Oryzias latipes: one gene and its partner. The protein of the gene in region 1 interacts with the protein of each later gene in a pairwise test. Links are inferred from orthologs where the notes say so. Each region holds a gene or a part of one and is shown on either strand. Other genes may lie near its edges.

Region 1 (4,053 bases):
CTCCCGATTGGCTCCTTGTTCCAGCTGACTTGCTGCCCAGAGACGCCCTGCTATCCGCACTGATGTCCTGAGAGGAGTTGTGGGAGGAGCCATTGCTGCTGTCAGTCTCCTCCCAGCCACCGCCTACCTGCCCCGGACACCATTGTAACACTATTGATGTGTAAAACAAAAAGGCATAAAAAAACCCCACAAATTTTAATTTAAAAATATGAGAGATACCATCCATTTGTCGTCTAAAGGTTTCTTCTCAAACTGGCGTCCTTAAATGTCTGACCTTTTGCTTTGCTTGCAGGGTGGTTGTATGCGCACGCTGGAACGGCGACTTCTATGGGTGCAGATGGGGCAAAGACGGCGCGGTAATGGTTATCGTGGAGGCGGAGGCCCTGTTGTTCCGTGGGGGGAAGGACAGCGCTGGCCACGACCTCCGCAGCTTTTTGGATCTTATCCAGGAGTGATTCGCTGGCTGCTGCGAGACACAGATGTTAGAACAGAGGTTCAGAGGAAAATGAGAATCCCAGACGGCCCTCTTTGCAGAGGAGATTGACAAAAACTCTCCTTTTAAGGGTTAAGAAAAAAATATATATATTTTTGCCCTGCTCTGCATTGATCAACATATCACCTGTTCCTTGTTTCCCTGGACTATATCCAAAACCCTGCAGTGCTGACCTGTGGGACAGAGCTGATCCCATACCTGGACAGAGAAAATAAAGAAGTTATTGGAGGGAAATATCTACATGAACAGAATATCTTCAATGTAAAGTGATCATTTCTATTCCAAATAAACAAAAACACAAGTTAAAGCTTTGATTTTGAATAATAATAACCCTGCATAGCAGCCATAAATGCAGCTGAGTAGAGAAGGAATCAGAATCCTTTATTGTCATTGGTGATACAATGAAATTGTAGCAGCCTGGGAGTGGTGGAGATAAAATAGAATAAAATAAAAATACTGTAACTCACATTTCTAATCAAAATATGTACAATATGTACAGAAACAATGAAATATTAAATACGTAAGAACAAAATAGAATGGAATGAGTTGAGTTGCCATAACCGGACATTACTGGTGCAATAAAAATGTCGAGCACTTTTGTAGCTATCTAGCCATATAGGTTTGAATCAGACGCCAGCTCCATGACAAAAACGAAGACATACGTGGATCTAGTCGTCTACAAGAGGATGAATCAGAAGGGAGCGGAGCAGGGAGCTTGTGGAGTTATTTTTATTTATTTTTTTACATTCTGTCTTACAGTTAAAGTTTGTCTATGATGGACATTATAACCAAACTTATCTTTTTACATAAAAAAAACCCTACAGAATCAGTGACTGACAAATACTTTCTGCCCCGATATAAAAAGTCAAAACAGGAGCTGGTTTAGCTCGTGCTGGTTTGCGGCGCCTTCCATCCGTGAAACCAGGGTTCGACTCCGGGCTGCTCCCTGTTCCCTTCTCTACCTCTGTGCCGGTCCCAAGCCCGGTTTGAGAAGGTTGCGTCAGGAAGGGCATCCGGCGTAAAACATTGCCAAATTTACCATGCGACTAGTTCGCTGTGGCGACCCCTGATGGGAGAAGCCGAAAGTGGAAGAAGAAGATAAAAAGTCAAAACACAGGTAAACCTAAATTCTACTCACCCATTCCTGGAGGGGCAATAGTGTGTGAAGACATGCTGCTTTTGGTATTAAATGAATCTGTGAAAAGTAATTGAGCCACTTCCTGTAAATGTAAACAATTAACACCTAGTAAGTAAATTCCAACTCAGTTTATAAACCAGGTAAAAAGAATACACCCAGTCTCGTACCTGTGCCGTACTCCTTACTTTCTGGTAAAGTGCTGAGCCATGGATGGGATCAGGAGGACCACTGTAAACTTATAAATGGACATTTTTCAACTTTAAAACCCCATTATCACGTGATACCTATGATATATTCCAGTGGTACAATCTCTTATACCTGATGCTTGCTGGATGAAGGTGGAGTTTCTTCTGAGTTCTGTAAGGAAATGATCTGAACCATGACCACAAAGGTGGACAAAAATCTTTAGCACCTTCAATAACCAGGAGGAGAACAGAGGTTACACTCAGTTAGATGAATGCAGAAATGAGTCTATGCCCAGATGTTGTTCTCACCTTAAGTTTGACGTGGCAGGACTCGACTTGCAGTCTCTCCAGGAGGTATTCAAGCAAACACTGACCACAACCCAAGGACTCATGGGATATTTCTAAAGTGTAATGGCAGTTAAGGGCATACTTTAGTAGTCAGTGTGTGTATTAAATGGAACAAGTTTTGCTTATCCGAAAAACAATGAAAACATTTTTTCCCCTTGATTAGGCCACCAACAAAGGATACTTCCAATCTCCTGAAAAAGGTAACCAGGACAGGGGTTTTCATCATCTGCTGTTGCCTTCATTAAGGTGGGAACCTGCAATAATTATGAGAAACTATCAACTTTTATTTATTAAAATAATGCTTCCAGCTTTAAAATCGTAGAAAATAATCTACTACTTTAATGGGTATTTAGAGACCCTAGCCTAAAATAAACACCATGCTAAAGAGTAGCAAGCAAGCTAGTAGTTAGCTAGCTAGGTAACTGCTACAAACAGGGGCGTCAAGCTACGTCGAGTCCGCCACGCGCTCCCAAAAAATCAACAGTTTTGTCTAGAAGCAAATTTTTTCCGAACTTTACTTACTTTTTGAATAAAAGCTAATCGTTCCAAAAATGTAGCCATGATTTAGCAGGTGTAGCCGCGGGTTCCTCATCTTTCTGAAGCTACTATAAGGAGGGCGTGGCTAAGGTGACAGGCAGCCAATCACCCTCATTACTTTGAGTCCTCCTCTACGTTCATTGGCGGATATTGGCACGCCTTAAACTGGATGACAACGAATCAGATACTGCGAGGGGAGTCACCCACTTTAGATTGACAGCAATATAAGCCAATCATAATATCTAAAAATGTAGAAAGGGAAGGTTTTAAATGACAGGGTCATCAAAATGGCGCTACCCGTAGTTTACACGAATTTTAAGCCTTTTTTATGACATTTTTTCCTCGTAAACATGCTCTAAGATTCCTAATCTAATACTCAAATAAAAGCCTATATGTGTTTTAAGGTTTAAAGACATAGATGCATATAGCAGCATGTCGGGCTCAAATGTTTGGACCAGAAGCCGGGAGAAAATGAGAAATTTCAGCGACATCTTTTCAAAGTGTGCCGACGAGGTGAGCCTTCTCAAATTAGTATTTTTCATCTTAATCTTATTTTGGTTAAAATATTCAGTACATAAATATGCAATAATAAACAAACTGTTTTGGGTGACTAAATATCGCATCAGTAGAAGAGTGGCATTATTTTGTCTGTTTTCTTGGATTCTAGCTTTGTTTTGCACAATTTGAGACTAAAGATTTGCGAGATAACTGCTGATCATTCTGGCCTGTTGACTATAAAAACCTCTACTTTGCATTTTCCAGCTGTTTTACCACAGCTGGGGTTACAAATGTGAACATTTATGTGTGAAATTGTCATTTCATGCACTCCTCTTTTAGAATATTTATTGAGCCCCTAATTCATTGGGAATTATTTGATACTGAAAAATACTTTAGTATCTGTTTAAGTTCAGGTGTAAATAGGAACTCAAATTATGATGCAACCACCACCATGTTTCATAGATGGAAAGCAGTTCATCTAACTACAAAATTAAAATTCTGACACTCATTAGAGGTATGCTATTATTTTTTTATATTTCTATACAAAATTCTCGATGTTAAAACATATTTTTACGTTTAAAAATATAATTATAAAGGTTCAACTCCATTTGCATTAAAGTATAAATCTTGGAGACATGTAAAAGTTTGTTTGCACAAATAAGTTAGATTTTCAGTATTTAACAAAAAAATATTTACAGGAAAACTAATTCAAGAAAACTTTGTACCGTCCATATTTGTGTAATTTTATTCTTTTTGGTGAGATTTGTTTTTCTTAATACAAAGCTGTTGTGTTGCAGGCTGCAGCGTATGGAAAGTGTGTCGCAGCAACAACGGCAGGCAGACAAGAGCTGAAG
Region 2 (3,517 bases), on another chromosome or scaffold:
TTTGACTGAATACTCAGATTAAAAATATGGGCGATGGGTTCAACAATAAAATCAGCTGCAAGTTTTAAGAAGTAGGGGTCTAAATCATCTGGACCAGGAGTTTGTTTTGGGTCAATAGCTTTCAGAGACTGTAACAACTCTGAATTGGAAATTGGTTGAATGACAAATTTGATTGCATGAAAAGATGCAGAAGACGCAGTAATAGAGGATCTGAATGACCAGACACTGGTGAAGATAAAAGAGGAACTAATGTTTGTTAAATTGTTTTGCAATTTCCTCTTTCTGTTGTATAGCAACAGAGTTCACTACAAGGTTTGCTGGTGTAGTTGATTTCACATTTTGTCCAGTTAACATTTTGGTTTGTTTCCAGAATTTATTGGGATTTTTAAGATTTGTTGAAATAGAATTTATGTAGAAATCAGATTTAGTTTTCCGAGTCAAAGAGGTGCATTTGTTTCTCAGGGCTCTGAAGGTGATCCAGTCAGAGTTTGAATTAGTAAATCTTGCTTTGGTCCAGGCAGCATTTCTTTCTCTGAACATGTGTAAAAGTTCTTTTGTGACCCATGGATTATCTCGCCCAGAAATCCGACATTTTTTGACAGGGGCATGTTTGTTACAGATTTTTAAAAAAGTCTCATGAAAATGTTGCCAGGCGCATTCTACATCTTGAATTAACTTAATGCGATGAATATCACAGTTGTAAAGATCATGAAAGAAAGCCTGAGGCTCTAATTTTTTTTACATTACATTACATTTTAATCTATGAATGTGTTTGTTCATGATAAAATTTGTTCCGTTAGAGATAAAATGTAACCAATTCTGAGGTGCAACATATTGAAATGTTGCTTTGGGGATGCGATATGGAATTGGACAGATCTGATATTTTTCTTCTTCATAGACTTTAGTTGAAGAATATTGTAAAACTGTTGGAGAAATTATACTCTCAGAGGCAAGATTCAATGAAATCTCTGTGGGTCCAAGGAGACATAAAATCCATAACGCATAACACATGAAAAACATTTTGAGCAAATACCTCCAGAAACAAGAGACAGGGAAATGAAGAAGCAGTCAAGACCAGGAGGAAAAATAGCCTAGTCCAGTTGTTACTGGAGAGCAGCTTTGGCCTGGTGGTAGCTGCAGAGCTGGTATGTCCTGGAGGCTGGAGAGCTGGTGCAGCCTGGTGGCTGGAAAGCCGGTGCGGCCTGGAGGCTCAAAAGCGCCACAGGAGCTCTTTAAAGTTGTGATTCCTTTGTGTGGCCGAAACGTTCGGCTGTCAAACTGGAACGGCCGGTGTTCCTGTTTCGAACGCCAGGGGGTGGAGGGAACCACTCAGTCCAGTTCTCATATTCAGTCAGTGAAGACCAAAGTGAAAGGAGTTACTGTAAACAAGATGGGGGTAACAGAGGTGTGGATGGACATGGATGTAGGGAGAGAGAGGGGTGGAGATGGTTAATACTGTGACAGTGAAAGTGTGCTGACCGAGTAAAATTATTGATGTATTCAAACACTTTCGAACCAGCCTCACCAGCTTATAGAGCGTATATAGAAATCCAAGTTTCTCTAAAATGAAGAGTTACAGCTCCCTTATAGATTTTAGAAACTTTTATGTTTATATCTGCAAACTCAGATACGGGTAATTAAAGTATAAAGTCTGCTTAAGTTTCACCTTTTCAGACCTCTGTTTCACTGTCAGCTCCATGAAAGCCAAAGTCTCTAACTTTTACACCGCAGAAAATAGATCTGAGTCTGACTTGGCTCAGCAACAAGAATTTGACTTTTGTTGATAATTTTAGAAAGGCGCACAAAGCATAAACACACTCACTCAGATAGACACATATGTTAAACAGTCTGCCTCACTGCTACTAAATATACTTCATGTTCTCTGTCCTTTTACTGTCATTTCCCTCATCTCTGTTTAGAGTTTAACTCACTTGTGGAGATAAATGTGGATTAGGGATTATGTGGTCTGTCAAAAATACTTTCCTGGAGATTATGAGGAAAAAGAACCATTCAGAAATTCGTTCAGATCCTCCTGAAGTGAGACCAAAGCACACATTGCCCACATTTCTCAGCACAGATGTACCTTCGAATGACATTTATGAGCATTAAGTCGGGTTCACATATTTGGAGTTTTGTCAGGACACAGGGCTGCACGGTGGTGTAGTGGTTTGCACTATTATAAAATGAGACATACCCTGGTTTGACTCCCAGCTGGGTTCTTTCTTTGTCAACTTAGCATGTTCTCTTCATGCATGCATGGGTTATCTCCGAGATTTCAGATCTCCTCCTATAGTCCAAAAACATGCTTCTTAAGTTAAGTGATCTGTCCATATTTTCTCTTAGAGACTAGTGACTCCGCCCACCTTAACAGCATTAAAAAAAAGTCAGTTTGATTGAACAAAGGGAAGATTGAAGCCCTGTTGGGTCAATCCACCTGCCAATCATCAAAGCACGATCATAATGCCCAGATTTTTAAATTTAACTTTTTCATTTAGGATCAGTTGATATTAGTTTCTCGTTTATAATTAGAAAAACTGTTACATTTTTTTGTTTGTTTTATCTCTTTAATGGTGTTTTTGTGTTCTCGTGTCCTTTCCTGTTCATTAAGAACATATGAAGAAATTGCATTTCTGAGTATTTTTTATTTCAAATAGTGAGAATCAGGAGCAGATAAAAAAAATTGAGTTTCAAAAAGAGTTTATTTGTGATCGGCAGGCAACAAGCTCCCTGCTCTGCTCCAATATAGCTCCAATATTTCTAACCATTTTTGTTGTACCGCTAATATTAGGTTGGGGGTGTGAGGGGCTGTAAGCTAACAGGAGAGGGTGTAAACAGATGGATGACGGGAAGTGGGGGCGGGCTTGCTCCACACCAACCACTGGGAACGCTTTGAAAAAAGGAGTGGGACTTTAAAACTTCAAAGGAAATGATGATGATGATCAAGCTCTGCCAGCATTGTGTTGCTTCTAGAAACCTAAATGTTCCTTTTACTGTCCGTATCTGTCTCCAGGGCAGGCAGGCCTTGTTGTGGCTTCTGGGTGTGTACGGAGATGGGGTTTCCAGCGCCCCCTACACTTTAGAAGCATTCATTGACGGAGTGAGGAGTGAAGTCTCTTTGGGAGTAAAGATGGAGCTTCTGACGGCCACCATGAGGCTGTTTCTGACCCGGCCTGCAGAGACCCAAGACATGCTAGGAAGACTGCTGCACTATTGTATAGGTGTGTGTAAGTGTACAAAAAAAGAGAAGGAGATACAAATGTAGATGGTTGTTAAAGCATTTCTTTATCTCAGAGGAGGAGACGGACATGTGTGTGAGAGACCTGGGGCTTCTCTACTACCACCTGCTGAAATGCGGGGTAGAAGAAACACGGAATGTCCTCCAGGGCAGGAGGTCGGACCCTTCTTTGGGCGTTCTGATTGGTCGCCCAGCGGAGCCCATCAGCCAGTGGGCGTGTAGCTTCAACACCCTGGAGCCGCTGAAGAAGGGTGGCACCGTGACACAAACAGCCAGCAGGGG

The links. The genes of interacting proteins can lie anywhere in the genome.
Region 2: the proteins of tepsin (region 1) and ap4b1 interact in binary tests that used the Homo sapiens proteins (3 or more experiments, as listed by UniProt). The link is inferred for Oryzias latipes from reciprocal best matches to the Homo sapiens genes TEPSIN and AP4B1.

The regions. Positions count from the first base shown.
Region 1 is NC_019877.2:3,984,035-3,988,087, reverse strand, and holds the start of tepsin (AP-4 complex accessory subunit tepsin), read right to left. Parts: upstream 2,810-4,053; 5' UTR 2,726-2,809; coding exon 2,687-2,725; intron 2,419-2,686; coding exon 2,346-2,418; intron 2,218-2,345; coding exon 2,126-2,217; intron 2,044-2,125; coding exon 1,950-2,043; intron 1,867-1,949; coding exon 1,799-1,866; intron 1,714-1,798; coding exon 1,632-1,713; intron 692-1,631; coding exon 620-691; intron 467-619; coding exon 275-466; intron 151-274; coding exon 1-150. Other genes in the region: ndufaf8 (NADH dehydrogenase [ubiquinone] 1 alpha subcomplex assembly factor 8), read left to right, coding at 3,134-3,214, 3,997-4,053. UniProt on the Homo sapiens protein: Associates with the adapter-like complex 4 (AP-4) and may therefore play a role in vesicular trafficking of proteins at the trans-Golgi network.
Region 2 is NC_019865.2:4,816,782-4,820,298, reverse strand, and holds part of ap4b1 (AP-4 complex subunit beta-1), read left to right. Parts: intron 1-3,010; coding exon 3,011-3,218; intron 3,219-3,291; coding exon 3,292-3,517.